4 linked regions of the Astyanax mexicanus genome follow. The protein of the gene in region 1 binds, or shares a complex with, the protein of each later gene. Links are inferred from orthologs where the notes say so. Each region holds a gene or a part of one and is shown in the gene's direction. Other genes may lie near its edges.

Region 1 (7,884 bases):
GTCACCCTCTAAAGGATCGAGATGAGCAGTTACACTTTCTATTACAGTACTCAAAAGTTTTACAGGCTCATTAGATTCTCTTAGGCCCAATCGCAATTCACCCCTTGGCCCTACCACTAACCTCATCCCTCTGTTTTGGGGTCGGCCATTAAGTTTGGCCACGGGACAGATATTTTCCAAGCCATTATGTGGCGGGCCACAAGCGGAGGGGGGGGGGGATGTTGGGGTTAGTATATGGGGGATAATATGAAGTTTAATAGGATGGGGTGCTACTAGTAGCTCTCCAGCCCAGAGGGTTGTTAAACCCAATTGCAGAACAGCTCATCTCAAAGTAGGTAAACACAATAAATAAATAAATAAACACACCGCTCCTCACGCGAGTTTGAACCCAAGTCATCTCGGTCACGGTCCAATACACTACTGCTGTCCCAGCTAGTGAATTGGGACACAGCTAGGAAAAAAAATGTGATAAGGACATAGGGAGCGGAAACAGGCGGAAACTAAAGTCAAGCCGTGCACGACAGAGAGAGAGACAGGGGAGGAATGTAAACAAAAGCTCGCCAGAGAAGCATTTTATTTATTTATTTTTTTTTCATTATCGTTCATTACAGTTCAGACAACCTCACGGGCCATATGTTTCATGCTTGCGGTCCACATCTCACCCTCAGTGTGTAGTCATTTCCCCATGGCCTCCTCCGTAGGTAAACTTGTAGATTATACAATATATTATTAGCAACTATCTGCTCTCAATGCTGTAGGCTGTAAAACCGATCATGAAAAGCAATTAATACAAGAAATAAAGCATACATCAAATGAACTTACAATTTAGGCATAATAACTTGACATTTCGAATCTAATTAAGAACATAAAAACTAACCAGTTTCCTCAAATTGTTTAAGTAAAGTAAACAGGTTCAAATCAACTATCTATAAACATATAGCAATATTTATTTATTTATCTATTTATTTATTTATTTATTTATTTAGGTCCGCCCCCACCCCCCTCTTTGGAGGACAAATTAAGCTTTATTAGCTTTAATAAACAATTACATTAGAGAGATAGTAATATAAGCAAAATAACAAGCAAAAGAAGGCAGGAGAACAAGAGAGCAGAACAGGTACAATATATATAGGCGGGAGAGAAAACAGAGAAAAGGGATAGAGAAAGAGATGGAATCTGTGCCCAATTGGTGTGTATGTGTGTGTATAGTAACATTCAGGTAGAGGTGCTGGATGTATGGAATAGTTGCCATTATGGTTGTGTTAGTGGTGTATTGGTGGTCTGTGTGTAAGAGCTGATGACATCATGCAAAAGGTTGTTCACTACTGACCATGTCTTCATGTGTTCTTAAATTCTGTTTTTGGTAGATGCTAATATTTTAGCAGTTAGCAATCCTAGCAACTGATCATATGTTTTTCATCTACACTTTACACACACAGTGTGTGTGGAGCTCAGATCTGCCTACGGCTGCTTAAAAAACACAGTCTCACACGCAGAGCTCTTCAGTGAGGATAACGGGATTGGTCTGATTGTGACTCATGGCGAATTAAAGCCTTATTACACACGACATATAATTATGTTTATTAAACATATTCATCATGAATAGAATATAAAGAGTTGGATGTATCGGGACAGGGCTCTGCAGAAGATGTTCAGAGAACAGCATTCTCTGCTCGAACTGATTTGATTTTGGTGCCTGGAAATAGAGAGAGTAGTTACATTCTCTACTCACATTTCCTATTTGCATAAATATTGAGTTCATAAATAAACTCGATTCAAATGCGATTGACTCCTGGCTCACTAGCCTGCAAGTAACGAGAGGAAACAGGAAGCTTGTGAAATGAGAAGCGGCATTTCTTATTGATCGGAAACGGACGACATAAAACCTGGCCTTGCGTTAATCCCTCCGGCTACTTTAGCCGAGCAGAGCTCAGTGTATAACAGGACTAAATATACTGAAGTTTTTATCACAATACTACATTTTTGTCCTCCATAACTTTTACAAAATGACTTTTGATATATTCTTGTTCTGTTTTGTTTCACCTTTGGTCTGTTCTCTATGCTCATCTGTTCATGTGTAGCTCCGCCCCCTTGTTACTCACCCCAAGGTGTTTCCTGTCCCCATCCATGTGTATAAATAGACCCCTTTGTTTCAGTAACTTACAATTTGGATAAAATAACTTGACATTTTGAGTTTAATTAACCATATTAGTCTCTATATACTCAAAGTACAATAGTATGCATTCATAAAGCATTATAAAGTGGACTATAAATATTTATAGAAATGTATAACACTTTACAGCCATGTTTATTATGCATTATGAATTGTGATTATGATGCATCATCAGCTGTGCTTATAAGATGTTATATGTCAATACCCAGAACCGAAACATAGCTCCTTTAACAAAGCATGCTATAATTAACCACTTTTAACCACTCATATTAACTTATATTACTTTATAATGTGTTATAATGTGTCGTTGTACACTTTAAGTAAAGTGAAAAATGTCCAAAAAGGGGATATACTGAATATGCTGTATTAATAGCAAGAGAAATGTAACATTTTAACCCCGATGCATAACATACTACAAGCTTATTACAGGTTATGATGCATTATGATCTCAGTTCATAATTAAGCAATAATACATGAGAGGGAGTGATATAACATGTAATAAAATAACTTTAATATGAAAAAAATTGCGATTATACCACAGTTTCATTATCACAGTTTATTGAAAGATTAAAGAAGACGAGAAGCGCTGCATTGTTGCTAGGTTACCTGTACTGTATGTGGCATATTAATACATGGAGAGCTTTGGTTACAGTGCATTACCGGCTGATAGCGGCACTCATAGAACGCCTCTCAGCCAATCACATTGTAGGGTCGGAACTAACTGTGGTATAATGCATAATAAACATGGCTGTATATGATTTTTTAATATATAAATATTTAAAGCCATGTTTATAATGCTTTACGAATGTACTATTGTGTGTTATCAGAATGTTTAAATAGTCTAATAGACACAACATTTATAGAAAGTTAGAAATTAATAAAAAGTAATTAACAAATTGTGTTATATTGTGTTATTTAAGCACTTAAAAAAAATCCAGATGACACTGCAGACACACATATGGCAAGATTAACATTCCTCTGTATTTGTACTAATGTGTTCATTCATAAATCTTGAAAAATGTATTGTTATACAGAGTTTATATGAAATTTAAACAACTATACTGCCCATAATATAGATTATGACCCCCTGGAACATCTACTGAACAAGCAGTCAGGAAGCTCAAATCCACAGCGGGGGTCTTTTCAGAATAAAAGAATAAGAAAGAGATTGATAAGAAACTCCTTTAGGGTTCACAAAGAGGAAATCCATTCATGTCTTTTCAGCCTGAGCTGAGCTGTCTCCATTGTTAGAATCAATTCTTGGTAGAAAAAAAATGTCAGCAAACATAAAAGACAAAGTTTTGCCGTGTCATTGTCACAGGAGGGACAAATCAGCAGTGATTTTTGATGATAACACATACCCTTTTAAGAGTGAGTGGAGGAAAGAATTGCTCTTTTCTTGGAGCTTTAGTCAGAGACGAGGGTTCATCTGATATCCACATTCACACTGAACACCCCCGGCCCCCGGAGACCCCACCAACAATAGCGGCTAAATGTGAGCTGAGAGTCAAAAGCTGCTTGCAGGGTGAAAAGGGGAACATGCTGGTGGTCTGCTTGTTTTCAGAGCTCTGGAGAAGCTGTTAATATTCTGTAATATTGAGGCTGTACATACTGAACCCAGAAATTAATCTCACAAAGGGATGATGCAAAATAACAGAGATAGGTCATTATCTTGTCAGATCAAATGACATTAGTGAAGGGTGGCAACTAGCCAATCAATCAATCAACTTTATTTTTATCTTTATCTCTGCACTGTAAACCCATACGTTGTTTGAACTCAAATGATTTAAGTCTGTTTTACATAAAATTGGATATTTCTAAACAATACTCAACTATTTTGAGTTAGTTGAACATTTGTAGGCACAAATATACAACATTCAAACTGAGATGAACCAACTTATAATAACTGAGTTTAGTCTGTCGCCATTAACAGCTTCTTTTCCATTGGCTTCTGTTACAATCTATTTGCATACTGGGTGTGTCCAACAGTTTCTGACTGACACTCACCATCAGTGTGTAGTGATTCCCCCTGGGCTACCTTAGAAATAAATCAAGTTCTCCTTTAGTTGTAATGACTTGATATTTAAATTTATGCTAACTCAAGTTTTCATTCCCCATTATTAAAAAAAAATGAGCAAACCGGCTGCCTTAAAAACGTTAAGTAAACTCAACTTATCTGGTCTTAGAGTATAAAAGAAATAAAAAAGTTAAATCAACTTCCCCTTTAGTTGTAATAACTTGATGTTCTAAGTTATGCTAACTTAAGTTTTCATTCCCCATTACTTAACGATTTTAAGGCAACCGTTTTTTTCTTTTCAATATACAGCTGAGCATTAACAACTTAACCTATTCAGACATGAATTATGTTCCATTGATGGGAAAATATAAGAATGCTATAATAATAATAATAATAATAATAATAATAATAATAATAATAATAATAATAATAATAATAATAATAATAATAATAATAATAATTAAACATATTTACTTTATTATTATATATAATAAAGTACATATATACTTTATTATTGTTTAATGATTGAGGGTCTTATCTTATTTTTATTGTATATCTTTTTATAAAATTATATATTATGCTTGTTTTAGATTCACTGCTGTTAAAGTAGCGCTAGATGGCGCCACTCCATTACACGCAGCGCTCCGGTGCGCGTGTTTGATCCTCACAGCTTTCCGTAGCAGACTGATCACGTGCACACAGGGTCAGCTGATTAGGGTGTATACAGTGTACAACAGTAGTTAGCCTGTTAGCGGCTCAATTCCCCTCTGATTCTCTTTAATATTGCAATCTGCAATATTTATTATTATAGTTATGGAGGCAACGCTGGAGCAGCACCTGGACGACACGTGAGCTCCATTATTATTCAGCAGCGGCTTTTATACAGCGCTGAGCGGACCCGCGCTGTTTATACAGTTACCCTTAACTAACTTAGCTTAACTGGCCTTACCCAACTCTGACTTCTTGTGTTAATGGTCTGGGAGCGTATCTTATAACCCATTTAACCCCTAATTTTACCATTAAACCCCTATTTTTATCATTGAACCCCTAATTTTACCATTTAAGCCCTAATTTTACCATTAAACCCCTATTTTTATCATTGAACCCCTAATTTTACCATTTAACCCCTAATTTTATCATTTAACCCATAATTTTTATCATTTAACCCATAATTGTATCATTTAACACCTAATTTTATCGTTTAACCCCTAATTTTATAATTTAACCCATAATTTTACCCTTAATCCCTAATTTTACAATTTAATTCCTAATGGAATCCCTACATTCTTTACTGCGACTAGCCTTACCTGAGTCTGACTGGGTGTGTTTATGGTCTGGGAGTGTATCTTTAACCCTTTTTTTATAATTTAACCCCTAATTTGATCATTTAACCTCTAATTTTTTATCATTTAACCCCTAAGGTTAGGCATACTGATATGACATATGCCTTCTATACAGTCAGCAAATTATTTATCTAGCTAGTGCTTGTTGTCACTCTTTTTAAAAATAAATCAAATAATAATCCCATATCATGGGATGCTTGGTATATGTGTAAAGTAATTAAATAATATATTTTTCTGCGTATGCTTAACTCTATCTACTTTATCTATAATTTCAGAATAATTTGAGTACAAGTACACGTTGTTTGATTGTGCTTCTTCAGTACTGTGATATACGTGTATATTTTTCAAAATGTAATTTTTTTCCCCCTTTCCTTAAAAAAAAACAAGTAGCCAATTTGTAGAAGTTTACATACACCAGCTGTTCTTAAACTGTGGTACTCAAATCGTCCCAAAGTGGTACCTTACGTAAGGTAGTAAGCACTGTAGTTCATTTCTTGGCTCTCATGTTTTTCTCAGTAGGAATACTGTATAATTCAGAAACAATTATCAATCAAATAACTTACCATGCTAAATTACAGACTGCAAAAGCAGGCAAGCTCCACACATATATAGGTTGTATATATAGTATACTAAAATCTTATTTAAAAAAAGCACACTCCTTGTTTAATCTCTGTAGAGAAGAATTGAATCTTTGGAACAGATAAACATGATCCTATCGGTACCATGCATAATGGAGTTGATGGGGTTATGGCTGATTGGTGTTGTTATTTGATTCTTGTTGTTTAGTACATTTTCCCACTGTTATAAATGCCTGTTATGAATGTCTGTTATCTGTTTATTTATTTCGTCAGAATGAAAAGTCCTTCAATCGTTGGGGTTTTGTGTACAGATGCCCAGGGTCATAATCTCGGATGTAAGTATTGGTTATCATTTAGTATAATACAAATAAATACAGTAGAAATATTATTAATCAGCTTAGTCCTGGATTGTCAAAAAAGCCAACTTGATATCTGTTTCAGTGTTTTGCAATTATTTTGACAGTTTTGTGTTAAAATAAATAAATAAAATAAAAAGAAAAACAGTATGTTTTTGACTAGTTGTGTGGTGTTTCTGCAGGCCGCGGCACCCTGTCTGATGAGCACGGTGGGGTTGTATCTGTCCTGGCGAAACAGGCTGCCTCTCTTACTAAAGACCCTACAGACTCTCCCACCGTGTGCCTCGAGTCTGACTCTGGGTAAGAGAACTCATATTCTCACTTATACAGTGTATTACTTTAACATGACTATGCCAGTTCTTTAGGTACACCAACAGATAGCATGCTGATAACAAACAGTCTGTTAAAAGCCTGTTATGAACTGAAATGACTGGATGACGTTTGTAACAGGATAGTAATCCAAAACATTCCTCAGATCTACCATAGAGTACCAGAATAGAGACACACTAAAGCTTGTGGATGTTCCTGCAGATGCCAAAACCTTTGCATGTTTTATTGAACGTTATGAACGACATAAACAATTCAATAAAACAGTTTGTTCAGTGCATAAACACTGTTAATATTTTAAGTCCTCTTAACTCCCTACCTGATTCAGTACACCATTACTGTGTGCATAAATTTCCACTAATTTCATAACAAGATTTTAGGAGCAATAGAAAATTACACTGAACTGCTAAAACTAATGGGACAGCAATATGTAAATTGGTTTAAAAGAAATTCATCAGGGGAGGGCTTGTTTAAGCTGTGAGGTGTTATCTAGTAAGTTAGGGTGTACACTATTCAGTGTGCTCATAGCAAGACACTAGAGAGACACTAGACAACTAGGGTTTGGAGGTGGAGGAAGTCAAGTCGAAGAGTCTCCACCTGCAGCAGAACTACAGCAGATCTTGTGATGTGGCTCTTAGAAAGAATAAAAGTACAACTTCCTCTAATATTATAACATTAAACTGCATGAATATCAGCTGGAATAACAGCTTATATATATATATATATATATATATATATATATATATATATATAAGAGGAAATTAAATATTTATTTTTTAAATCTACCTGGCCTATCTAATATTTAAATGGTAGTATTTATTAATATAAATATATATTAATTTAGGTCTGCATTTTCCCCTTTTATAACAACAAAAAAAATATTAATAACTGTAATTCTGATAAACCAAGCTTCTTGTTTGCAGTTTTTAAAACAAAGAAACAGTTTTACAAAGAATTTAGAGAGAAGATTATCACTATCATTAATAGTGTGCATTATTTGGTTACAGAGAGATTTTTTATTGTATGTTTATATTTTTAGAATAAATAGAAACAGCGTCACAGGTGTGTGAGGGGGGTATCAACCCAGTGG
Region 2 (7,149 bases), on another chromosome or scaffold:
GTATTCCGGTGTCTTTGTCCTACCTGTACATTCACCTTGATTCAGACATATACTTATTGTTTATAAAAATATTAATTATTAATAAAATGTTAAGATTAGAAATGTTTCTCAACAAAAACTATGCATTTAAGTAGCTGGTAACTGAGTAATCCTTTTCTGTTTAATGTGTTTGGACATGTTTGGTCTGTGACTGTACATCTAACCTAATCAGCTGTTATTTGTTTTTTCCTTTGTGAACTCTGGCACAGCTGTAAGTCAGGTTTTATTTAAAAGAGAGAATTTCCTAAATTAGAGACTTTAATGTATAATAGAAGAAAAGAAATAAAGCTGTTGTAAAGTCTCATTGCCTGTATTTGTTTATTAACAAGAGGTCAAGAGGATTTTATTGTCATTACAACTAAGTACAGGTACATAATGTAATAAAATTACGTTCCTCCGGAACCATGGTGCAACATGGAAGAACAATACAATAGACAACATATAGTGCAGAAGTGTAACGAAAATCTATAACACTACAATAAATACAGTAAATACAACAGATGAGACAATTTAACAGACAGGACAGTGCAGTACCGTATATGGTACAATGAAATGTGATAGAGTGGTAGAATAAGGTGCAGAGATATGTAACATATAGAACATACATGATCACAGCACTTACTGAGGTAGTGAGTTTATAGATTTTTTGGTAAGAAGAAAGTATTGCTGTTTTTTGAGAGTGTTTGTAGAGTGAGGTTTGTAGGGTGGGTTCAGTACAGTCTTTGTGTTTGTGAAGAGTGGTTGGGGGGTTTAATTCAGTTCTGTGTGAGTGTGTTGGGTGTGTGGTGGGGATTTCAGCTCCGTCTCTGTGTTGAGGAGTTTGACTGCCTGGTGGATGAAGCTGTTGCAGAGTCTGGTAGTGGAGGCTCAGATGCTCTGGACGACATCAGAGCAAAGAGTCCGTGTGAGTGATGGTTGGGGTCATCCACAATGCTGGATACTTTGCAGTGTCTGTGATGGAGGGGAGAGAGACTCTGATGATCTTCTCAGCTGTCCTTGCTGTCCACTGGTCTGAAGTCCTCCTCTCTGCTACTGTAATCAGCAGTGTTGTGTATGATCGCATTCATATTTGTTGTGAAGACTAAACTTAACGACTACGTTTACAAATACTGAACGTGCCACTGAATGCGCAGCAAATCCAGAGCCATTCTTATAACAGAAATTGACTGCAAACTGGTATGGGGAGCCCACGAAAGAGTCAGTCCAATATTAATGGGAGTAAATGGGCTTAAACGGCCAACTCAAATAAAAAATGGTAAATATCCACTTTGCCAGAGTATTCCTTGAATTTTGAAAGTATAATAATGTATATTTTTTTAACAAGGAAATAAAACACCTTTATATTTCAGTTTTACTACAGTAAATGGGTTTTAGACAGTAAAGAAGCTGCATTACTGATACTGTCAACATTTGATATTGATGTGTGGTGAGAAAACAAGTATAATTTAATTTAAAAAAAAAAAACGCTTGGTATAGGATAATATATTTATTTTGGGAGTAGTGAAGATCTTGGGCTTGTGATGGAAGTGTAGAAACAGGTTCTGTTAAAAAAGAATAGCAGCCTATTTATTAAGAGAAAACAAATAAACGTGAACTAGTACATTTTTAAATGAACTTGTTCATTTAAATTAGTGTGAACTGAACTTTGAACTTGTTTATTTTAAATGTGATCTGGCACAACACTGGTAACCAGAGCTCCATTCCAACCACTGTCCTGGCCCGTCTGATTAACTGGCCTTCATTTCTTAATTTTTGCCATAATATAGATTAGAATACTACTTAAATATGCCTATTTACTAACTATATACCAAATCTACCTCTACTTTAAGAAAGACGCAGAAGTTTAAATTGGGTACAAAACTGCCTGTTTTTCTTCATAGTTTGGAAGATTTTAGAAAAAGTAAAAGAATGAAATTTAAGGTGTCCAAACTTTTATTAGTTAAATAAGAGATTTTGTCAATATCACAATAACAGTTGTGACCAATAATTACTCATTATAATAGTTATTATTATATATATTATATATAATTATTATTATTATTATTATTATTATTTATAATTACCATTATATTATTTTGGTTTGTCCAATATTTTATAGAAAAGCTTCTACAAGATGTTAAAGGTTTGAGATTGTTTGAGGGTTTCTCGGCTAAAACCCAGCTGAAGAGCATCTGCTCACCTAGAGAAAATAAACCCTCACAGCATAAAGGGATTTTAGAAGAAAAGTTGATCTTTATCTGAACTACTTACCAGGATTTAACCCAGTCATAGTAAAAAACTATATAATATATAATAAAGAGTAAAAATTCTACCAAAAAGTTTCTAATACTGCAGTAAAAATAATGAACTGCCGCGTTTCTTAGTTTGACCGGATTTTTTTTATCATGCGCTTCTGAGCAGCAATAGGTGAACTGGAGTTTGGCCAAAGCTTATTTATAGAAAGAATGTCCACTTTCTGTCTCCCAGTTATAGCAGAAAATTACTGTTAAACACTAGAGAGAGTCCGCGAGAGAGTCATTAATTGGAATGAATAAGGCTAAACGGCTAAAAACACAATTACAAATAGTAACTTACTGCTTGCTTGGGATATTCATTTAATTTAGACCCAAGTGTTTCCCTAGAAATCCAAGAAATCTTACCTGTCTATTTTAGTTTCATTTTGGTAAACGGGTTTAAGTCGCTGTATTACTGCTACTGTGAGCTGATTGACTGACTGACTGACTGGAATGAGCTGATGCTGCAGGTACAGCCAGAGCAGCTTAGAGAAAAAAAGGTTGTAAAAAAATATATTGCCTGCAGTGCTGAAAATGTTTTATACATTTCTGTGTCGAGTGTATTGAAATGACTAATTATAAGTGTTAAGTATAAAAAAAATTAAATATTCATAATTTATCATTTTGCTCAGCTGCTCCATAGATATCTTATACGTATATGTATATGCCTGTGAGCTGCTCAATATAACCCCCATATGAATTCTCTCCAGAGCGCCCTCTGGTGTCAGACAAACCCGGAAGAAATTATCAAGTGGGTTTTCGCCCCTCTATACGCTCTCTGGTTTTATGCTGCTTTAACACAACTTGGTAAATATGTATTAGAAGCGGTCTGATACAAGAACAGTTCAGTCCAGACTCATTATGTTCCACTAACGAGATCCAGCTCATCAGTTCCCGCTCACTAAAGCCCGGCTTCAGGAATCCAGGCAGCTTCCATCTGCTACATACAAGCTGAATAAATTAAATATGAGTATTTACTGTATTATAATGGGGTATACTGCGTAATGTTTATAAAGAACAAGAAACGTTAACACATTTAATTAATATGATTTAAGTTGGAGTAAACCAACATTATTTATTATGAAAATATTAGTTCAGTAAGGTGCAACTAACAGCTTAGTAGTTTCTGTATAAAAGGTATAGATAAAAATATGCTTCTTAAAATACAAGAAATAATAGTATACAAAGTATAATTGAAAATGATATAGGTAAAAATTATAATACATGAATAAATATATCAGTGTCAGCCCCAGTGTCACTTTTAAAACCTAATTCTAATTCTTCATTTCCCATTCTGTATAGAGAGAAATAATAGGTTTTCATCCATTTTTCATCTATGTCCTTCACAAACATAAGTATATGAAAAATATTGTTTCTTCTTTACTTGATTATCTTTTTTTTTGCATCTTGTAACAATTGTAGGTTGGATTGTACCACCAGATCTGTGTTACAAAATGCAAGAATTGACCATTTAGAGTCCTGATTGTGAGAGGCAGAAGTGAAGAACAAGAAATTGGGAAACTGCATAGAGAATCCATTTTACATTCACTATACTAAATGGAAAAAATAAACAATTTATACCTAGGCTTTATAAGTTTTTATACACCATTTTTTGTTTTCAAATTTAGCCTTAGATGGTCAGAAAACTGACCTTATAATCACTGACCGTGTATGCGCATTAATCTCATAAACACGATTATAATGACAATTCCTACTGGAAGGAGCATAACCCCAAACCCCAAGCCTCCGGCCTGACCACGTGGTGTCTCTCCGGAAATAGCAGCCAATCAGCGCGGAGAAGCGGGCGGTGTCGTTTCTGAGCTGCTCGTGTGAGTAATGCGAGTCATATGACCAGGCCGCGGAGCAAGTGGGTCTCGCGGAGCGCGGTGTGCGCGAGGTCGGGTCGGTAAACGCGCTGTTTGTGTGTGAATGCGGGGAGCCGCGGCTCCGCCATGCCGCCCACGCTCTTCCAGAAACTCTTCAACAAGCGGGGCCCGCTCTCTCCGCCGCCCCGGAGCAGCACGGAGGACCCCGCGCTCAGGTACGGATCCCCGCCCGCCCGCCCGCGGATCCTCGAGCTAATCTATAGCACTGGAGTTTAGGTAACACCGCTTACTGTGTGGTAAATGACCCAAATTGTCATCAGTGAAGCGGTTTATTTGTGAGTCGGATTGTATTTAATCTGTGTGTGTGTGTGTGTGTGTGTGTGTGTGTGTGTGTGTGTGTGCGCGCGCGCGTGCGTGCGTGTGTGTGTGCGTGTGTGTTAGCCGTTAGCTGAGTGGCTAGCTGTCATGCTAGCGAGTTGTCTCCTGCGTCTTGTGTGCTGTTGTCAGTGTTGGGAAGGTTACTTTTAAAATGTAATCCCTTACAGGTTACTGATTACATCACTCAAAATGTAATTTGTAACGTAATCAGTTACATTACTTCAAGTGAGTAACGTAATCTGATTACTTTGGATTACTTACAATATTGTCATTTTTTTAAGCCTGAATGAATGTAGCAACCACATCTTGCATATTATTGTTTTATTTTTCCTTCCAGTTAATAGATAGACAAATAAAACAGCCTTTTCAATCACCCTATAAAAATACTTATGAAACCATTTAATCAAACAATTTTATAAAACACTTCTATAAATTGATGATAAAATCATTAAAAACCAAACAATGTAACAACAACTGTAAGCTAACTATTTGCAGGTTTGCCACTTTCTGCAGGTGGATTTTTTGCCAGGATTATCTAGGGGTGTAAATCACAAGATTCATTACAATACGATACAATACGATTATTTTAGTCAGCGATACGATAATGTACGATACCTCAAATTGTCTTTATACGATACAATTCGGTCCAATAGGATTTAATGCGATTACAATCTGTTCCTTTTCTAAGAACTCACAAATGCAAACAAAATATAATTTGAATGTTTTATTATTAAATGTCAAATGCAGTGTAATCATAAACAGTAAACAATAATTCACTTCAACACTTTAATTTCCATTATTTAAGTTCCATTTGAGAACATCAAATGCAGAAGAAAAAAAAAAGCGCCTGTTATATTTAGAGTTTACAATGTGTGTATGGATGTTGATGATGAATAGTCAATCATTCTCTACATTTCCTGATTCAGTAGGGTCTTGACAAACAAGTTACAAAATTTGTAATTTATATCACAATGCATTGAAGAGTTACACTGCATTATATTAGGTGTCCACCAGGCGTCTCCAAAGTGTTCAAAACCTCTCCAGTAAATCTGTCTCTATACAGCCAGAGTTTGTAATATTTTTGTTTGTTTGTGATAAAATAAATGAATGTAAGTCTATTTCAGAGTAATATTAATACTTTTTGATGAAATGACAAACAAAATCACACGTATGCGCGCTGTGGGCGCACTTATGTTTAGCAGAGGGAATTTGGTGACAGCGGTTAGGCATGCCCCTCCCCCAGCCATTAGGAGACCAATCAGGACAAATTACGTACCAATGTTTTCGTCTAAGGGTGGACTATTGGTTGAAATAGGTGTCAATCACTTTTGTGACGCTAGAGAAAGGCTATGACCTGATTTGACTGGATTGGATTGATCCAGCGCTCACGTTATTGGTTCAAAAGACGATCACTCAAGAAAAATAGTGGTTTGTGGACCAATAAAAAACACAGAATCTAGAAGAGGACATCCTTAGCTTTGTATTCACGTACAACTTTACGTGAAAATATTACATTGTGTGGTCGCTAGGAGCTTGAGAATATTACGTTTCAGCTGCGCTGAAAATAAACGCATGTTTGTGAGGAGAAGTGAGCAGGTGAATAAAGGACTTTATGGATATTTTATCTGCGATTCAGTGCTGTATTGTGGATGCTGTGATAGTAAGTGAATTTTCTATAATGTAATATGATGTTATTTTATATACTAATAATATTTTATAAGGCTATTTTGTTGGGGAGGCGTGTTCCCCATGTAAACAATGTGAAAAAAAACAGGCTTTTTTTTTCAGTTGGCGATTTCTGGCGACTGGTTTCATGTAGATGGTTGTAAATTTGCATGCAGGTAGTTAAATTAGTAGTTACTAAAGAATATGAGTCGGTTATTTGGTCGGTGTGTTTAGAATATTTGATGCTTATAAGCATTCTACTTTACATAGTCAGAACGGGCCCGCCGATGGGCTAGGGGGCGCTTCTGCAGTGAAAACATTCTGAGCAGGAGGTTGTGAATCATAGAATATTTTGATGACGTGATTTATGTGAATGTGATTGCGTTTTGTCAGTGTTGGATTGGAAGACGATTGTAACGGATTACAGTTACTCATAATTTGTAATCTGATTACGTAACGCCGTTACACGTAATCCGTTACTTCCCAACACTGGCTGTTGTCGCGCAGAGACTGGTGTAGTTATCTGCTGTAGGACAGTATTAAAGTCTGGTGTAGTTATCTGCTGTAGGACAGTAGCGGAGTCTGGTGTAGTTATCTGCTGTAGGACAGTAGTAAAGTCTGGTGTAGTTATCTGCTGTAGGACAGTAGCGGAGTCTGGTGTAGTTATCTGCTGTAGGACAGTAGTGGAGTCTGGTGTAGTTATCTGCTGTAGGACAGTAGTGGAGTCTGGTGTAGTTATCTGCTGTAGGACAGTTGCGGAGTCTGGTGTAGTTATCTGCTGTAGGACAGTTGCGGAGTCTGGTGTAGTTATCTGCTGTAGGACAGTAGCGGAGTCTGGTGTAGTTATCTGCTGTAGGACAGTAGCTGAGTCTGGTGTAGTTATCTGCTGTAGGACAGTAGTGGAGTCTGGTGTAATTATCTGCTGTAGGACAGTAGCGGAATCTGGTGTAGTTATCTGCTGTAGGACA
Region 3 (7,786 bases), on another chromosome or scaffold:
GTGTTTACCAGAAGCCAGTTGAATGAGTTCATGAGCACGAGGTTACAACTTTAACTCACTGACACTTTCATAGTATCTATAGTTTTACGTATTTAAAAACAAAACTCAGATTTCAGCAGCAATGCCATCAAAATAACCAGTATTAAAGTGTGAAGAACAGTTTTTTGTTTAGGTGTTCACACCTTTATTACCAACACGGTTCTTTATGGACCCAAAATTATGCTAACCACATTTACATCTGGCTTTATTCCCCTTTGGGTATTGTGACAATCTCATAATTGCATCTGGATCAGGCCAAGCTACATAAAAATGCACTCAAGACACTTAACTCATACAAATCCAGTAAATCAAACCTGTTCAGGATGTGACAAAGCATATTAACAATTTACTATAGCACTGTAAAGGCATCCATTACTACAAGATGCATTTAACAACCAAAATCCCTCCCAGTTTAACTGGAACACCAGTAATAACTGCTATGTAACAAGCAAATTTGCCAATTCTACGCCACAACAGCAATCAGATTTCAGTTTGACTAACCAGAGACACACAACTACTGAGTTTAACTACATGTGGCTAATGTCTGATCAGAATCCAATCCAGATAAGTTACTTTGTCAGTAATTCAGTTCAAAAAGTGAAACTCCTATATTATATAGATGTATTACAAACAGAGTGATCTATTTTAGGTGTTTATTTCTTTAATTGTTGATGATTATGGTTTACAGTCAATGAAAACCCAAAAATCAGTGTCTCAGAAAATTTTAATATTATATAAGACCAGTTGGTACTTTTGGCAGTGTGGGCAGTGTGCAAAGTCCTGCTGGAGAATGAAATCCACATCTCCATAAAAGTTGTCAGATGCAGAGGGAAGCATTAAGTGCTGTAAGATTTTGTGGGAAAACAAAACTGCACAGACTTTAGACTTGATAATAAAACACAGTGGATCAACACCAGCAGATGACATGTCTCTCCAAACCATCACTGATTGTAGAAACTTCACACTAGACCTCAATCAGCTTGGACTGTGTGTCTCTCCACTCTTCCTCCAGCCTCTGATCCCTTGATTTACAAATGAAATGTAAAATTTACTGATAATCAGTGATGTTTGGAGAGACATGTCATCTGCTGGTGTTGATCCACTGTGTTTTATTATCAAGTCTAAAGTTTGTTTTCCCACAAAATCTTACAGCACTTCATGCTTCCCTCTGCTGACCTTAACTTTCATGGAGATGTAGATTTCATTTTCCAGCAGGACTTGGCACACTATGTACACAGCCAAAAGTACCAATTTGTTTTATATAATATTCTAATTTTCTGAGAAACTGATTTGTGATTTTCATTGACCGTAAGCCATAATCAACAACAATAAAATAAATAAACGCTTAAAATAGATCACTCTGTGTGATATATATATATCTATATGAATGATATTTAGATTATTTGAGATGCACTCATATTTTTATTTATAGACCATATGAGTATTTGTTTGATGCATTGTGGGTACTGCAGTGTGAGAGAACATTCAAACATGACAAGGATACAAACTCAGGCATTTGCAGCCTGTCAAGCAAGTGAGGTTGAGGATGCAGTGCTTAAGTACAGTATACGCAGTCATGCCAAATGTCATGGAACTGGTATTGTGTCCCATGACTTTTGCAATGTTTAATTGAGGCTAAAGGACACTGCATTTAATATGCATACTGTATTGAAATGGGTGTGATTGATTTATGCCACAGTTGCTTAACTGTTCACACAGACAGTTCAAGCCAGATGCTGCTGGACACCAGCATTACCACCCACTGCAATTTTCTGTCCACTGGGGGTGGTAATTACTGCTTATGATGTATTCCTGCTACACTGTAGATCAAGGAATGGTAAATATCTCATCCATCTGCTCCCACTATCAGTCCTCCCTCCAATTCCCATAATTCACTTTACCTAACATTCAACCCCACTCACAAGATAACACCTCACAACTTATACATATGTGGGCATTCACAAGTTCCAAAATTCCCAGAGGTAACACTTGATCCATTAACATACTACTGTCACATGACTTGTGACATGTATCCTAGTATTACAAAACATAATATATAAGATTAAATATCAGAATTGTCCCTCAAATAAGTATTTTTTTATATTGAACATAGAATAACCAATAATTAGAATAGCTGAATAAAATGTCAGCACAAGCCACCAAAACTGCTTAGAGAAACGTACATTAGTTTAAATAGCTTCTAGCGTTTAATTTCCTTGGGCTTACGACTACTGGTAGTTGCTTTTAAATTAGAATTAATGCGTTAATGTGTGAGCACTAGTACATGTCTCTGAAATTACACCCTAATCCACCCTAATTTTGAATCCCAGTTTGTTCAACAGTTGTCTTGTGACTCACGTCAAGAAGTCATTAGTTACATATAACATATAGGGCTCTATCTTACACTCTGTGTAAAGTGCGTAGTGATGCTAATTGCTATCTTACAACCCGTCAACAGTCTTTTTTTCAGCCTGTGTCACTAAAATAGCAACAGAGTTTAAGAATATATCTACGGCAATGGGCGTGGTGGTCTGGAAGTGAGGTGTGTTCAGGTAAATATCTGGTGTATTGCTATCTTGGCAGTGGCAAACACAGGTGCTCCACTGACTGATTTAAACCCTGTCAACAGTCACCAGTCAGACGTCCATACCTATCTTAGCAACTCTGGGTGCATTCTGTGTGCTCAGCACACATACACTATTTGTTACACACAGCTGCAGTGCACAAACCCAACCTTTACATCAACAATAAACAAAATCAAGAAAAAAAATATAATTGATTTTCCTGTTAAATTGCTGGCTTACCTTCACAGCGTAAATGAGCAGGTCAGTTTCCTCTAAAGAGATGCGCAGAAGAGATGCACCCTTGAAATAGTGCACCTGACTCTTAAAGGGAAAGGCAAGTGACACCTGCTCTTAATCAATTTAAGAGAATTAGTACATGTCATACTTTTTCTAATGTTATGATAGCAAAAACACACTGGCATGCCCTCAATTAAGCTGTGCGGTGCATGGTTGAGGCTCACCTGTAGATCGCTAAAATAGGGCCCATAATAAGGGGCGGATTTTACCACCACGCAAACCACGCAATTGCTTGGCCAAAAGGTTGGCAAAAAAGAAAAAAACCTGCATTATTTCTCTATTGTTTGACACCGAAGAGACACTGTACACGCAACATTAAGCTAGGCGAGGTAGACTAAGGTACCTTTGGCACAACCATTAAACGGTCTTAAAAACAACCAATTTTCAAGTGTTTCACACTGAAGGAATGTTTCCTTCAGGATATTTACAGGACTTTAATGGAAGTCAAAGTAAAAAGATTTTATTAAATTCAAAATGATTTTGGAGAATTTCTCTTGGTCCAAACAACAGAAATTATTTTTTTTCCATGACATCAGCAGTGTGTCAGTCCTAATGGCACAGTACAGAAAAAAATTAAACACAAGTAAAGTAATGGATATGAGACATTTAAAAGGAAAACCAAGAATATAGCTTTACAGTAGGACATGCTTATATCCCCTACTACAGTGCTGTGAAAAATATTTGCCCCTTACAGATTTCTGTTGTTTTTGCTTTTTTGTCATACTTATAATTATCACTACATTTACAATACTATGTACTTAAATTTTCCAAAAATTGCAAAGCCATTGATCATCTATCAGTCTGGAAAAGGACCACAGTGAGAGCTATAATTCACAAATGGAGAAAACATTGTACTTTTTATGTTTATTCATGCTATCTTTGTCTGATATTAAACTTAGTTTGAAAATGTAAGTATAATAAAAAAAAGCACAAAAAAACATAAATCTGTATGGGGACTAATACTTTTTTACAGCATTGTATATACAATATTTATGATCAGCTATTTTCATCTACATATCTTTTATCATTTCAATAAAAACAACCTTTTTATATTTAGTTTTATTATAAAGATGCATAAATGAACTGTCTATACTCTTTTTTGTATCAAAAACAAACTGTGTATTCTCTTTAGTTTGATGATAAAGCTGCATAAATTAACTACCTATGATCATTTTATCAAAAACAAACTGTTTCTATAGTTTAATTATAAAGATGCATAAATGAACTACCTATGCTCATTTTATAAAAAATAAACAGTTTGAAATCTTTAGTTTATTTATAAAGGCACGGAAGTAAACTATCCATGCTCATTTTATAAAAAACAAACTCCTTAAACTCTTCAGTGAAATTATAAAGGTGCATCAATTAACTACCTATGATCATTTTATCAAAAATAAATCGTTTGAAATCTTTAGTTTAATTATAAAGGTGCATAAATGATCAATCTATACTCATTTAGCCAAAAACAAACTGTTTGTACTCTTTAGTTGAATTATAAAGACACATAAATGAACTAGCTATGCTCATTTTATAAAAAATAAACAGTTTGTTCTCTTTACTTTAATTATGAAGACGCATAAATGATTGATCTATACTCATTTAGCCAAAAACAAACTGTTTATACTCTTTAGTTTAATTATAAAGATGCATAAATGAAATATCTTAATTATAAAGGTGCATAAATGAACAATCTGTACTTATTAAGCTAAAAACAAACTGTTTATACTCATTTAGTTTACTTATCAAGGTGCATACTTAACTATATATGCTCATTAAAAAAAAAAAAAACCTTTTTGTACTCGTTAGTTTAAGTATATAATTGTATGAATAAACTATCTACGCTTATTGGGCCCAAGACTACATTTCCCACAATCCCCCTCGTGCCTGTGTTGCGGAAGTGTGTTAGTCAGCTGATGTGTGTGTGTGTGTAAGTTAATGCTGGCTGCTGTAAAAGTCCTGGTTTCTGTAGTATTTTGAGGGATTTACTGGGTTTTCTGATCATGTTAAGACCTAAAGCTTTAACTCAGGTGCTCAGCCAGGCCAACACTAACGGAGTCCAGAGCACGCTGTGAGTATTATCCGCTCCGTTTACCGCAGATGTGGAAATATTGTGGCTAAGGTTGCTAAGCTAACTCGTTAGCTTCATTAGCTAGTATAGGTTCAGAGTGAGATAAATATATAGAAACACAGTGAAATCAGTTTATTAATGTGGTTTAATGTTTGTTTACGTGTTAAATCTGCTTCAATCGATATGATAGTGTCAGTGTTAAGTAAGCAGCGCTTCTGTTTCTGATTAATTTATCTTCTTAGCATAGCTAGCTAGCTAACCTATCTAACCTAGTTAAGTATAAACCAGTTAATGTACTAAAGGTTGTTTTTATACAACAAATAAAGTAATTTAAGACATTCACATCACTGTTTTGCTTTAGTAAAGATAATATAAATTAAATGGGAATTAAATGGTCAACCTAGTGTCAAGTATTAAGGTATAAAAAGTAATAAAGCTTTTGTTTAACAAAATTTGCGAATAATAGTTTTTATATGATATAACATCAAGTTTTAAGCCACCCTAGATGTGTAGAAACTGTTGCTGTAGTAAATGTTATTAATAATAGTGATAAATTGCGATTACTTAAACTTTTTTTCTCCGTAAGGCTAAGCTTTTAATATATATATATATTTTTTTTGTGTAAATATCACATCAGTATTATATTTTCTAAATTAAGTTATATATAATAGGTGTCATTTGTTAAAAAAAATGTTATTTAATTATGAATCATATCATTATTCAAATACTTTAAATGCAGGTATTTCCCTGTATTTTTTATTTTTTATTTGTATGTGCTGACTTACTAAGTTTAAAAGTGAGCTTTAATGGAGGAAGTAAATGTTAGTGTAGCTCCATATTCCACATTCAAAAATGTATAAAGAGGAAATGTTCTGAACTCTGCAGTAGCAGTGCTGTGTTATCATGCTACATAAAAAAATGTAGTAGGATGTACTGTTGCTGCTAATTGTCTACTTTTTTTTAGGGTATTTATCTTTATCTTTATTTTATGGAAGCCCATTCCCGCCACTTAAAAAAAAAAAAAATCCAGCATTTTTTTTATTATTATTATTAAGTAAACTGCAATATCTCGATATTTTGACACAAGTCATTATTTTGAGAAAGTAAGTCATTATTTTGACATACTATCTCAATATTTTTTGATACTAAGTCATTATTTTGAAATACTATCTCAATATTTTGAGATAATAAGTCATTATTTTTGAGATACTGAGTCATTATTTTGATATACTATCTCAATATTTTGAGATACTAGTATACTGTACAGAGACAGAGGCAGGTGAGACAAAGACGCACAATGGATACTATTACTATATAGCGGTTTACTTAATAATAATAAAAAAAATGTGCTGGATTATTTTTTATTTTTTTAGGTGGCGGGAATGGGCTTCCATACTATTTGGTATATTCTATTTTTATTGTTTTTTTTTTTATTTTGTTATCTTATTTTATCTATATATCTATTTTAACAACAGCTCTTGGGTGTAAACTGGATCATGAGATCACAATTTCGTTCCACCTCATGTACCACGTGATGCAAATGACAATAAAATCTCCTTGAATCCTTGAATTAATGTATCTTTATGAAGGTCTAAACTGCATTGTTAGGCTTCTAACTGGGCAAAAACTTGTCAGGACAGCGGATGTTGTGTTGGTTTTGATGCTTGCTGTAACCAATTTTCCGATGTCACTTTCTTTCTTTCTTTCTGTGTTAGGTTACTAAATAATGAAGGGTCACTTCTGGCCTATTCTGGCTATGGAGACACAGACGCGCGAGTAACTGCAGCTATTGCCAGCAACATCTGGGCAGCCTATGATAAGAACGGACATCAAGCCTTCAACGAGGACAAGCTGAAGTTTATTCTCATGGACTGTATGGTAATAACTGTCAAAAAAATCAAAAATCAACTTACGGTCCTATGTTTACAGTTTCTATTTATTTATACTTGCGGTTTGTGGGTGGCTTGTTTGTTTAGACATCTATTCTGTAGATTTCAAGTGTAATTAATGTAGTCTGGAGTTCCTCTACCCACTATCAAAGCGCCTTGCCATGAGCATGCTGACCAGTAGTCATCCTAACTCACAAGGTAACACCTCACAAATTATACAGGTGTCTGAATTCCCACTTCATTATCAATTCACAAACTCCTGTCACATGATATTTGAAGTATATTTGAAAAGTTTTGTTTAGCAAATAAAGCTTTTTTTCTTATATACACTACTGCCTTTTAAAATGTTTAAATAATATTTAATTGTTATGATTTTATAGCAGTTGCACAAATGATCACCTCCTACTTAACTTAATAACCCATTGCTGAGCATGCCAAACTTTTGCTGATGGGGTCCATTCAGATTCTATTCATTGATCATACTGGACTACTAAATTACCAAATAAAAAATTTGATTGTATAAGCTGATACTGACAGTTAACAAAACATTGGCAAAAAATTGTAATGCATCATACAGCTCAGGAAAAAAAAAGAGACCACTTAATTGAAAACCTCTAGAATATAATTAAGAGGAAGATGGATGATCACAAGCCATCAAACCAAACTGAACTGCTTGAGTTGTTGCAGCAGGAGTAAAGGCATAAAGTTATCCAAAAGCAGTGTGTAAGACTGGTGGAGGAGAACATGCCAAGATGCATGAAAACTGTGATTATAAACCAGGGTTATTCCACCAAATATTGATTTCTGAACTCTTAAAACTTTATGAATATGAACTTGTTTTCTTTGCATTATTTGAGGTCTGAAAGCTCTGCATCTTTTTTTTTGTTATTTCAGCCATTTCTCATTTTCTGCAAATAAATAAATGCTCT
Region 4 (7,704 bases), on another chromosome or scaffold:
CCACTTTTTTGTAATAGACCACTGAAGTCGTGCGTCATTCTGTGACTTCAGGCCTCCGTGTCTAAGCGTTTTTTTCTCTATGAGGTAAATGAATGAGCTTTTTAAAAAACTGTTCTCTATCACATTCTGTGGTAAATTAAATATGTTCAGAACCCTGTACGTTTTATTCTGTGTAAATTTTCTTCCTGAACAACACTGGGTCCTCTGATTTTCAAGATTGTTTAAGAGTTGTAATCAGAAAAATGCTAGCTTTAAGCTAATGCTACAGTGCAGCTGCAAAGATCGGCAGGGGACTTTTTTCAGCACAACACCAGAGAACTCTGGCCATAAGTTTACATCATATTAAACTTAGCTGATCCAACTAATGAACTAACTGCCCTCACTGAAGAGAGCTGAGAGTGTTACAGCAGGAAATCACTAAAACAGGACAGTGATACTCCAGGAGCCAGCTTTAAACACTGTAGCATGTTTTAACATTTACTCTCTTTATTATGCAGTGAAATAAATAAAAAATGTTTGGTGTTTCTGTCTCGTTGGTTTAGTACCTTAAGCCAAGTTAAGGTTTGTCCATATAATAGGATTCAGTGAAAAAACACATATTAAGGTTTTTTATCTTAAGTATTTTAGACTCTTTGGTTTCTTAGATAGTTAGCTAGCTCTGTGGTTTTGGAGTAACTCTCTCCTGCTAGTTTTCCTGCTTTATCACTCAGCTCGCCTCAGCCAGCAGATAGGTAGTTGATTAGTTGATTAGTTATTTGTTGGTTGATTATTTGGGTCATGTGTTGTAATTAGTATAAAGTAATGACCCTAATTAAATACTAAACCCGCTGGGAAGCGCTACTCCTGAACTGAGAGCCACTCTCTCTTAGTATCTGCCTTTTAAAGCTCTAACACAGACTACACTGCTCAACGTCACTATACTGAAAGAGTTTCACCTCTCTAAACGCTTTAATGATCCTCTGTGAAGAAGAAGAATAATCCAAAACACGATCCAGCCGGAGTTCGCTGGTGTACTGCAGAATCGAGTCCCCTAGCATTCACTGCTGCTGTGCTGTGACGTCAGTTAAGTATTAGCTTAAAGCTAGCATTTTTCTTATTACTACTCTTAAATAATCTTGAAATTCAGAGGATCCAGTGATGTTCAGGAGAAAAAATGTACATAGAATAAAACATACAGGGTTCTGAACATATTTATTTGCCACATAATGTGACAAGAGGCCAATTTTTGAAAAGCCCATACATTTTTTCCATTTAACAGAAATTCTTAGACACAGAACCCTAAATATGGGAAAAAACAACATGGTGCCGACTAAAAAATTACGACACAACTTCAGTGGTCTATAATAAAACACATTTGTAGACACAGTGTGAATCACAGCACAGAAGTATTGGGTGTGTCTGAAAGTGGAATTATACTGTCTGTGAGTTTTTAATCCCAGCTTTAACCTTCACTCCTTTTTCAGCCCACCCCAGAATCTGTAAAAGCACTGAAAGAACTGAGCTTCACATTCAGAAACGACTTCAGTAGAGTTTACCTATTTAACTTTATGATACAAGGTGAGGACATACCTATCTGACCTTTGAACTCTTGACAGTTCATGAAATGGTAATGGCGCACACAAACACACGTGTAATATTCTTAATACTCATTATCAAACCTATGTTGCTCTGTTAATATTACTAAAAGCCCCTGGTAACATTGTTAAATACTAAATGTGTGTGTTTTGAGAAGCATATAGTAAAGTTAAAATAGAAAACACAAAGCAAGAATATGACAAAACACTCCCCACAAATCACCAAAACGCACTCCTCTCTTCACACCTCTCTTCAGAGACCGGTGTGGGTGTGGCAAACAAATGTTTGTTTACATTACCATGGCAACACTCTACCTCAAGATAGAATCTGCATCCAGAACTGCTCCCCATTAAAAAAATAGTGCAATATATGAAACTTATTCTGTGTAACAGGGGTAACTTTTGGTCTTTCTTTCCTTGGAAGGTTCCGATGAGAGCCAGTTTCATCACTATCAAAATGTAGCGTACAGACAAGGTATGCTTGAATTTCCCATGTATACCATAACAAAATGGGGGGGTGTTTTAAGTGACAGAATGAAAAAAAGTTTCACACAAACTTTGTTGCTTTTTTATGAAGCAGTGTTTCTGAGCGTAGTGTCCGCTCAAAGTCATTTGGCCATCTCCTAGTGAGTTCAATATGTAGCAAATGCTAGTGAATGATTTTATTTTTTTGCTTAAACGGTTGCTAAGCGACAGCTCACAAACTCACAGATTCTGGTTGCTCAGACTCGAAGAGAGGGGGCAAGGCTATGTTAGTAACCTTGTGATTGGTCAGGTTTTTTGCTGATGCCAGCCTGACCCACTTTCAGACAAGCCGACTCCACATCCAGGGTAGAGTATTAATATTGTGTCTACTACTACTACTACTACTACTACAACAACAACTCATAATAATGGCATATCTAGTAACTGGTCCTTGAGCCAAAAGGTCAGTGCTCAACAGCATACATACAGGGTGATATTGTGAGGGTTTGTATAGGTTGTAAAGAAAGACCTATTTGGGTGTGTGGATCTTCTATGAGGGGATTCCCTGGTCCTTCTTCTTCCATGACAGATGGTGTAATCTGGGAAACCACGGGGATGTCCACCTCAGAGGCCAGAGCTGATCTAGGTTCAAATAAAGGCCTGTTATTCCTGACAGTTCCTAAAACAGGAACTGGAAATAGTCTAAACACACTTCAGGGTGTTACATAAGGAGGAAGAGATTAAAACTGAACCCAAAAAGACAAACACGACTAAACTTTCAATAGGAAAGTAACGTTAGGTAAAAAACATCCAAATAGAAGCACAGATGATTATTCATTGACAGTAAAGCAGTCATATAATAAAGGACGGTAAGGTAAAAGGTCTAAACTGAGTTCCTTGTTTGAACTCTCAGGTCCACCTTAAACGCAGAAGCAGATACGTACCAACGCCTGGAGACCCACTGTGCAACTGCTGGAGCATTTAAGGTGGAACGGACAATTCCAACGAGAACTTTAGCTTCATTTAAGGGTGAAAACACTACTAAACGTACTGACCTCGACTATATAACATATACAACGTTGTTATTAACTTAAAACAACAACCAAAAACAATAGTTGCCGTTAGAATTCGGTGCGGATTCGCTTACCTTAAAAACCGACTCTTACAAAAGCTGTCTAAATGCATACATAAAAGTCCCTTATAAAAATAAATAAAAAAATAAATAAAAACAATATTTCACGTACTTTAAAATGTTTTATATACGACCATTAACAAAAGTTACACCGGTGTAAACATCTAGAATCAACAAATATATAAGTTAGAGCATAAATATTTAACTAAATAAAAATAGAGTTAACGCTAGCTAACTAGGTTAAGGTAACGTAATGTTGCTGGTGGTATACGCTATATATAGTTATATATGTTTACAAAAATAAGTAAAATACTGGTAACACTTTACAATAAGGGTACATCAATAAACAGCACCTTATGAGAGTGATAAACATTGTTAAATGTTTTAGTAATGTCACAACTAACTAGCTATTAAATGAGTTTCTTGTTCAATTTTCACTTCCACCTTAAAAGCAGCAGCGGATACAGCAAGGGATATGTACCAACTCCTGGAGACCCAACGTGTAACGGCTGAAGCATTTAAGGTGGGACGGACAATTCCAAAAGAAGCTAACTTTTACACAAACTTCGACTATATAACCTATATATTAAAATATTAAGCAAAAATAACACCAAAAACAGTTATAGTTAACGTTACCATTCGGTGTGGATTTGCTCACCTTAAACACCGAGCCGGTAACCAGGGAGTTTGATGATTGCTAGTGTGAGCGTGTAAGTGTGTGTGTATTAGATCCAGGGGAATATTTCACAATGACATCATCTGACGGGATACCTGACACGTGTTTTAGCTGAAACTGTACAGAGAGGAGAACTCCCACTCGAGAATGTGTTCCAGGTTTGCTGGTCTACCAGAGGGCGCTCCAGAGTGAGTTTAAAATAAATGAATGTAGCAAAATTATACTTTATTAATGCTTAATAATTTTTCATACTGAAAATTGTAAGTTACTTATTTTCTCAACTCAGAACAATATTACATGTTTTATTCCTACACACATATTTTCTTAAGCTTTTAAACTCCATTTACAGTGGTATGAAAACCTTTGGGCACCCCTGATCATTTTTATGATTTTTCTTTAGAAATCTTTGGTTGTTAGGATCAGCAATTTCAGTTAAACATATCATATAGCAGACGAACACAGTGACAACTGTGAAGTGAAATGAAGTTTATAGGATTTACAGAAAGTGTAATATATTCCCGAGTGAAATGAAGGTTTAATAATTTACTGATTCCACAGTAGTATTTTTAAGTGTGATTTCTTAGAAAACAGAGTGTAATAAAACAGGGAGGTTAAGATACTTTTATTTGCTAGCTAACATGTTTTTTATTTTTTTTACTGGATTTATGATAACTAAAATAACTAAAATCTGTCAAATTAGCAAGCGTATTTTAAAAGATATTTTTAAAAAGTATAAAAAAACACACTAGCGCCATAATGAAATTTTACTACACAGAGTCCTACCTGAGCTTTTCTTTGTGCTGCTGTAATCAGTTCTAAAACGAATTAATTTTGTTTAAATAATAATAGTTTACAAGAGGGCTTTTATTTTGAAGGGAGAGTCATTTCACGGACCTGCAGCTGTTCGCTTTGTTATGGAGGAAGCGCGTGACTGCTCGTCACGTGACAGAGGGGTCTGAAGATGGAGTAATGGAGAGTTTATTGTGAATTTGGGGGAATTATTAACGTTATAAATCTGCGGGGACGGCCTGAAAGCGGGCAGAATGCAGTAACATGTGGTCGTACTGTGATTTATCACCTGTGAGAGCATTACCTGTGGTGATTCTGCTGTTATAGTTTTTATTTATTGGGTGAATTAACGCTGATTAACTCACTCTTGAGTTCTGTTACCTGATTTACATCCTAATAATCACAGTTTAATTAATAAGTCTGCTCATCAGAGAGGCGATTAAACGCGTTATTACTGATAAACAGAGCGCAGGAATAGAGGAGCCTCCTGTTCAGAAGTCTGGGTGTTACAGAAACAGTAAATAAGGTACGTAAACATGATTTACACTTTGTTACCTACTACATACAGTAACTTGTGCTTCTACTCAGTGGCCACTTTATTAGAAACGCCTACTACAGTACCTTGTGCGTCACCTCAGTGTGGCCACTTTATTAAAAAACCTACTACATACAGTACCTTGTGTTTCTCCTTAGTGGCCACTTTATTAGAAACACCTACTACAGTACCTTGTGTTTCTCCTCAGTGGCCACTTTATTAGAAACACCTACTACAGTACCTTGTGTTTCTCCTCAGTGGCCACTTTATTAGAAACACCTACTACAGTACCGTGTGCTTCCACTCAGTGGCCACTATATTACAAACACCTACTACAGTACTGTGTGCTTCTATTCAGTGGCCACTTTATTAGAAACACCTCCTACTGTACCTTCTTTTTTTTACTTTTTGTGTCCACTTTATTAGAAACACCTACTACAGTACCTTGTGTTTCCATTTTTTGAGGCCACTTTATTAGAAACACCTACTACAGTACCTTGTGTTTCCACTTTTTGTGGCCACTTTATTAGAAACACCTACTACAGTACCTTGTGTTTCCACTCAGTGTGGCCACTTTATTAGAAACACCTACTACAGTACCTTGTGTTTCCACTTTTTGTGACCACTTTATTAGAAACGCCTACTACAGTACCTTGTGCGTCACCTCAGTGTGGCCACTTTATTAGAAACGCCTACTACAGTACCTTGTGCGTCACCTCAGTGGCCACTATATTAGAAACACCTCCCACTGTACCTTCTTTTTTTTCTTTTTTTTTAAACTTTTTGTGTCCACTTTATTAGAAACATCTTCCACAGAACTTTGTGCTTCCACTCACTCTGGCCACTTTATTAGAAACACCTACTACAGTACCTTGTGCTTCTCCTCAGTGTCCACTTTATTTAAAAAAAAAAACCTACTATTTGCTTCCACTCTGTGGCCACTTTATTGGAAACCCATAAAATGTAATTCTACGGACTGGGCCATTTTAGAACCACCACGTTGTTTATTGTTTATCCCCAGATGAATGCTTTGGTTGCTCTTTGCCATTTCTGTGAACTGCACGGGCCCCGGACCCTGTTCTGCACCGAGGCCGTCCATCCACCAGCCCCCTCGCCCCCTCAGCCGGGGTCCGCCCTGCTGGGCGATCGGGAGGCAGAGAGAGAGGGAGAGGGGCTGACCATGAGGGCCAACAGCTCTGCCACACAGAGAGCCGACATGTGTGAGGTGAGAGAGGCTGTGAAGTAGTTTATATACACTTGCGTGGCCAAAGGTTGGTGGATAATTGCTCATCTAAAGTTTAGATATCAAAACCAAGAGTAATGAATGAGTTCAAGGCTCCGTACTAACTAGTGAGGGGACAATCCACCTTTTTGAGCTCTGATCCGATTCCGATATAAAACTGATATAAAACTGCCGATACAGATACAAATACAGATAAAAGGGCTCTTTTAGTTTATTATTAGTACTATGATTAAGGTTACATAATAATGCTGAAACAGACCACACAGCCAATTGAAGTGTATACACAAGTGCATTTAATGTAAAGTCATTTATTTCACGCACTTTATATACAAACACACAATAGTTTTCTTTCAAATTAAATATTTAAATTTTTATCAAATATAAAAAAAAAGTTCAATATGAAATGTGTTAAATATTAAATACATGGCTCTAGACTAATCTTTTTTGCACTGGTCGCGCAGGACTCTTTTATTTTCGCACGTAGCGTAGTGGATTAGCTGCAATGGCTGCAATAAATTAACTAAATTAATGGCTGTTTTTAATAACAGATGGGTGTGTTTGTGCTGGTTAGTGTTTGTAGATCCTGTGGTTTAATGGGATATCTGGATTATGACTACAGTTTACAGTCTGTAGTTAATACCTTTACAACACCAGAATGCAGCTGTCAGTGCAATGTTAGCTAGGCTAACAGACTGCAGATGTTAATGGAGATGGCTAACGGCTAACCAGCGATGCTAACTGTATTTCCGAACTAAATTAATCACTGTTTTTAACAGCAGATGTGTGTGTGTGTTTGTGCTGGTTAGTGTTTGTAGATCCTGTGGTTTTATAGGATATGTAGATTACGTCTATAGTTTACTCCAGTAGTTAATATCTTTACAACACCAGAATGCAGTTGTCAGTTTAATGCTAGCTAGGCTAACAGACTGCTGGTGTTAAACTCTCCAGATTTTTTTAAAGACAAACAGCTAAAGCTGCTAGAGGTTCAGGGTAAACTGTTAAACTGGAATCCGGATCAGTGATGCGTTTAGTGTTTATGTTACTGCTGGTTTATTGTTCAGCTCAAGCTGCGGACTGTAGTATGTATCGGTAAGTGGATAGACCGCGGTCACCCGATATCTGACACCCTGATTACATCAATATTGGCCCCGATATTGTATGTTAACTCACAATAGCACATTAAAAACCAGGAGAAGTAGAAGTAAATTTACAGAATATATTAATAAACACATTGGGTTTAATTTACTTTATTGTTTTGTATTATTTGTTCTTTAATTTCCATTTATAATT

Evidence for each region.
Region 2: lamtor5 (region 1) and fnip1 share a complex: the UniProt entries of both Homo sapiens proteins name them as parts of the lysosomal folliculin complex. The link is inferred for Astyanax mexicanus from reciprocal best matches to the Homo sapiens genes LAMTOR5 and FNIP1.
Region 3: lamtor5 (region 1) and lamtor2 share a complex: the UniProt entries of both Homo sapiens proteins name them as parts of the ragulator complex. The link is inferred for Astyanax mexicanus from reciprocal best matches to the Homo sapiens genes LAMTOR5 and LAMTOR2.
Region 4: lamtor5 (region 1) and flcn share a complex: the UniProt entries of both Homo sapiens proteins name them as parts of the lysosomal folliculin complex. The link is inferred for Astyanax mexicanus from reciprocal best matches to the Homo sapiens genes LAMTOR5 and FLCN.

The regions. Positions count from the first base shown.
Region 1 is NC_064419.1:41,212,676-41,220,559, forward strand, and holds the start of lamtor5 (ragulator complex protein LAMTOR5), read left to right. Parts: upstream 1-4,879; 5' UTR 4,880-5,003; coding exon 5,004-5,038; intron 5,039-6,384; coding exon 6,385-6,446; intron 6,447-6,649; coding exon 6,650-6,767; intron 6,768-7,884. UniProt on the Homo sapiens protein: As part of the Ragulator complex it is involved in amino acid sensing and activation of mTORC1, a signaling complex promoting cell growth in response to growth factors, energy levels, and amino acids.
Region 2 is NC_064424.1:38,408,924-38,416,072, reverse strand, and holds the start of fnip1 (folliculin-interacting protein 1), read left to right. Parts: upstream 1-4,141; 5' UTR 4,142-4,264; coding exon 4,265-4,353; intron 4,354-7,149. UniProt on the Homo sapiens protein: Binding partner of the GTPase-activating protein FLCN: involved in the cellular response to amino acid availability by regulating the non-canonical mTORC1 signaling cascade controlling the MiT/TFE factors TFEB and TFE3.
Region 3 is NC_064408.1:115,893,317-115,901,102, forward strand, and holds the start of lamtor2 (ragulator complex protein LAMTOR2), read left to right. Parts: upstream 1-4,786; 5' UTR 4,787-4,900; coding exon 4,901-4,968; intron 4,969-6,683; coding exon 6,684-6,846; intron 6,847-7,786. UniProt on the Homo sapiens protein: As part of the Ragulator complex it is involved in amino acid sensing and activation of mTORC1, a signaling complex promoting cell growth in response to growth factors, energy levels, and amino acids.
Region 4 is NC_064413.1:8,017,533-8,025,236, forward strand, and holds the start of flcn (folliculin), read left to right. Parts: upstream 1-4,688; 5' UTR 4,689-5,162; intron 5,163-6,192; coding exon 6,193-6,396; intron 6,397-7,704. Other genes in the region: leng9 (leukocyte receptor cluster member 9), read right to left, coding at 2,569-2,623. UniProt on the Homo sapiens protein: Multi-functional protein, involved in both the cellular response to amino acid availability and in the regulation of glycolysis.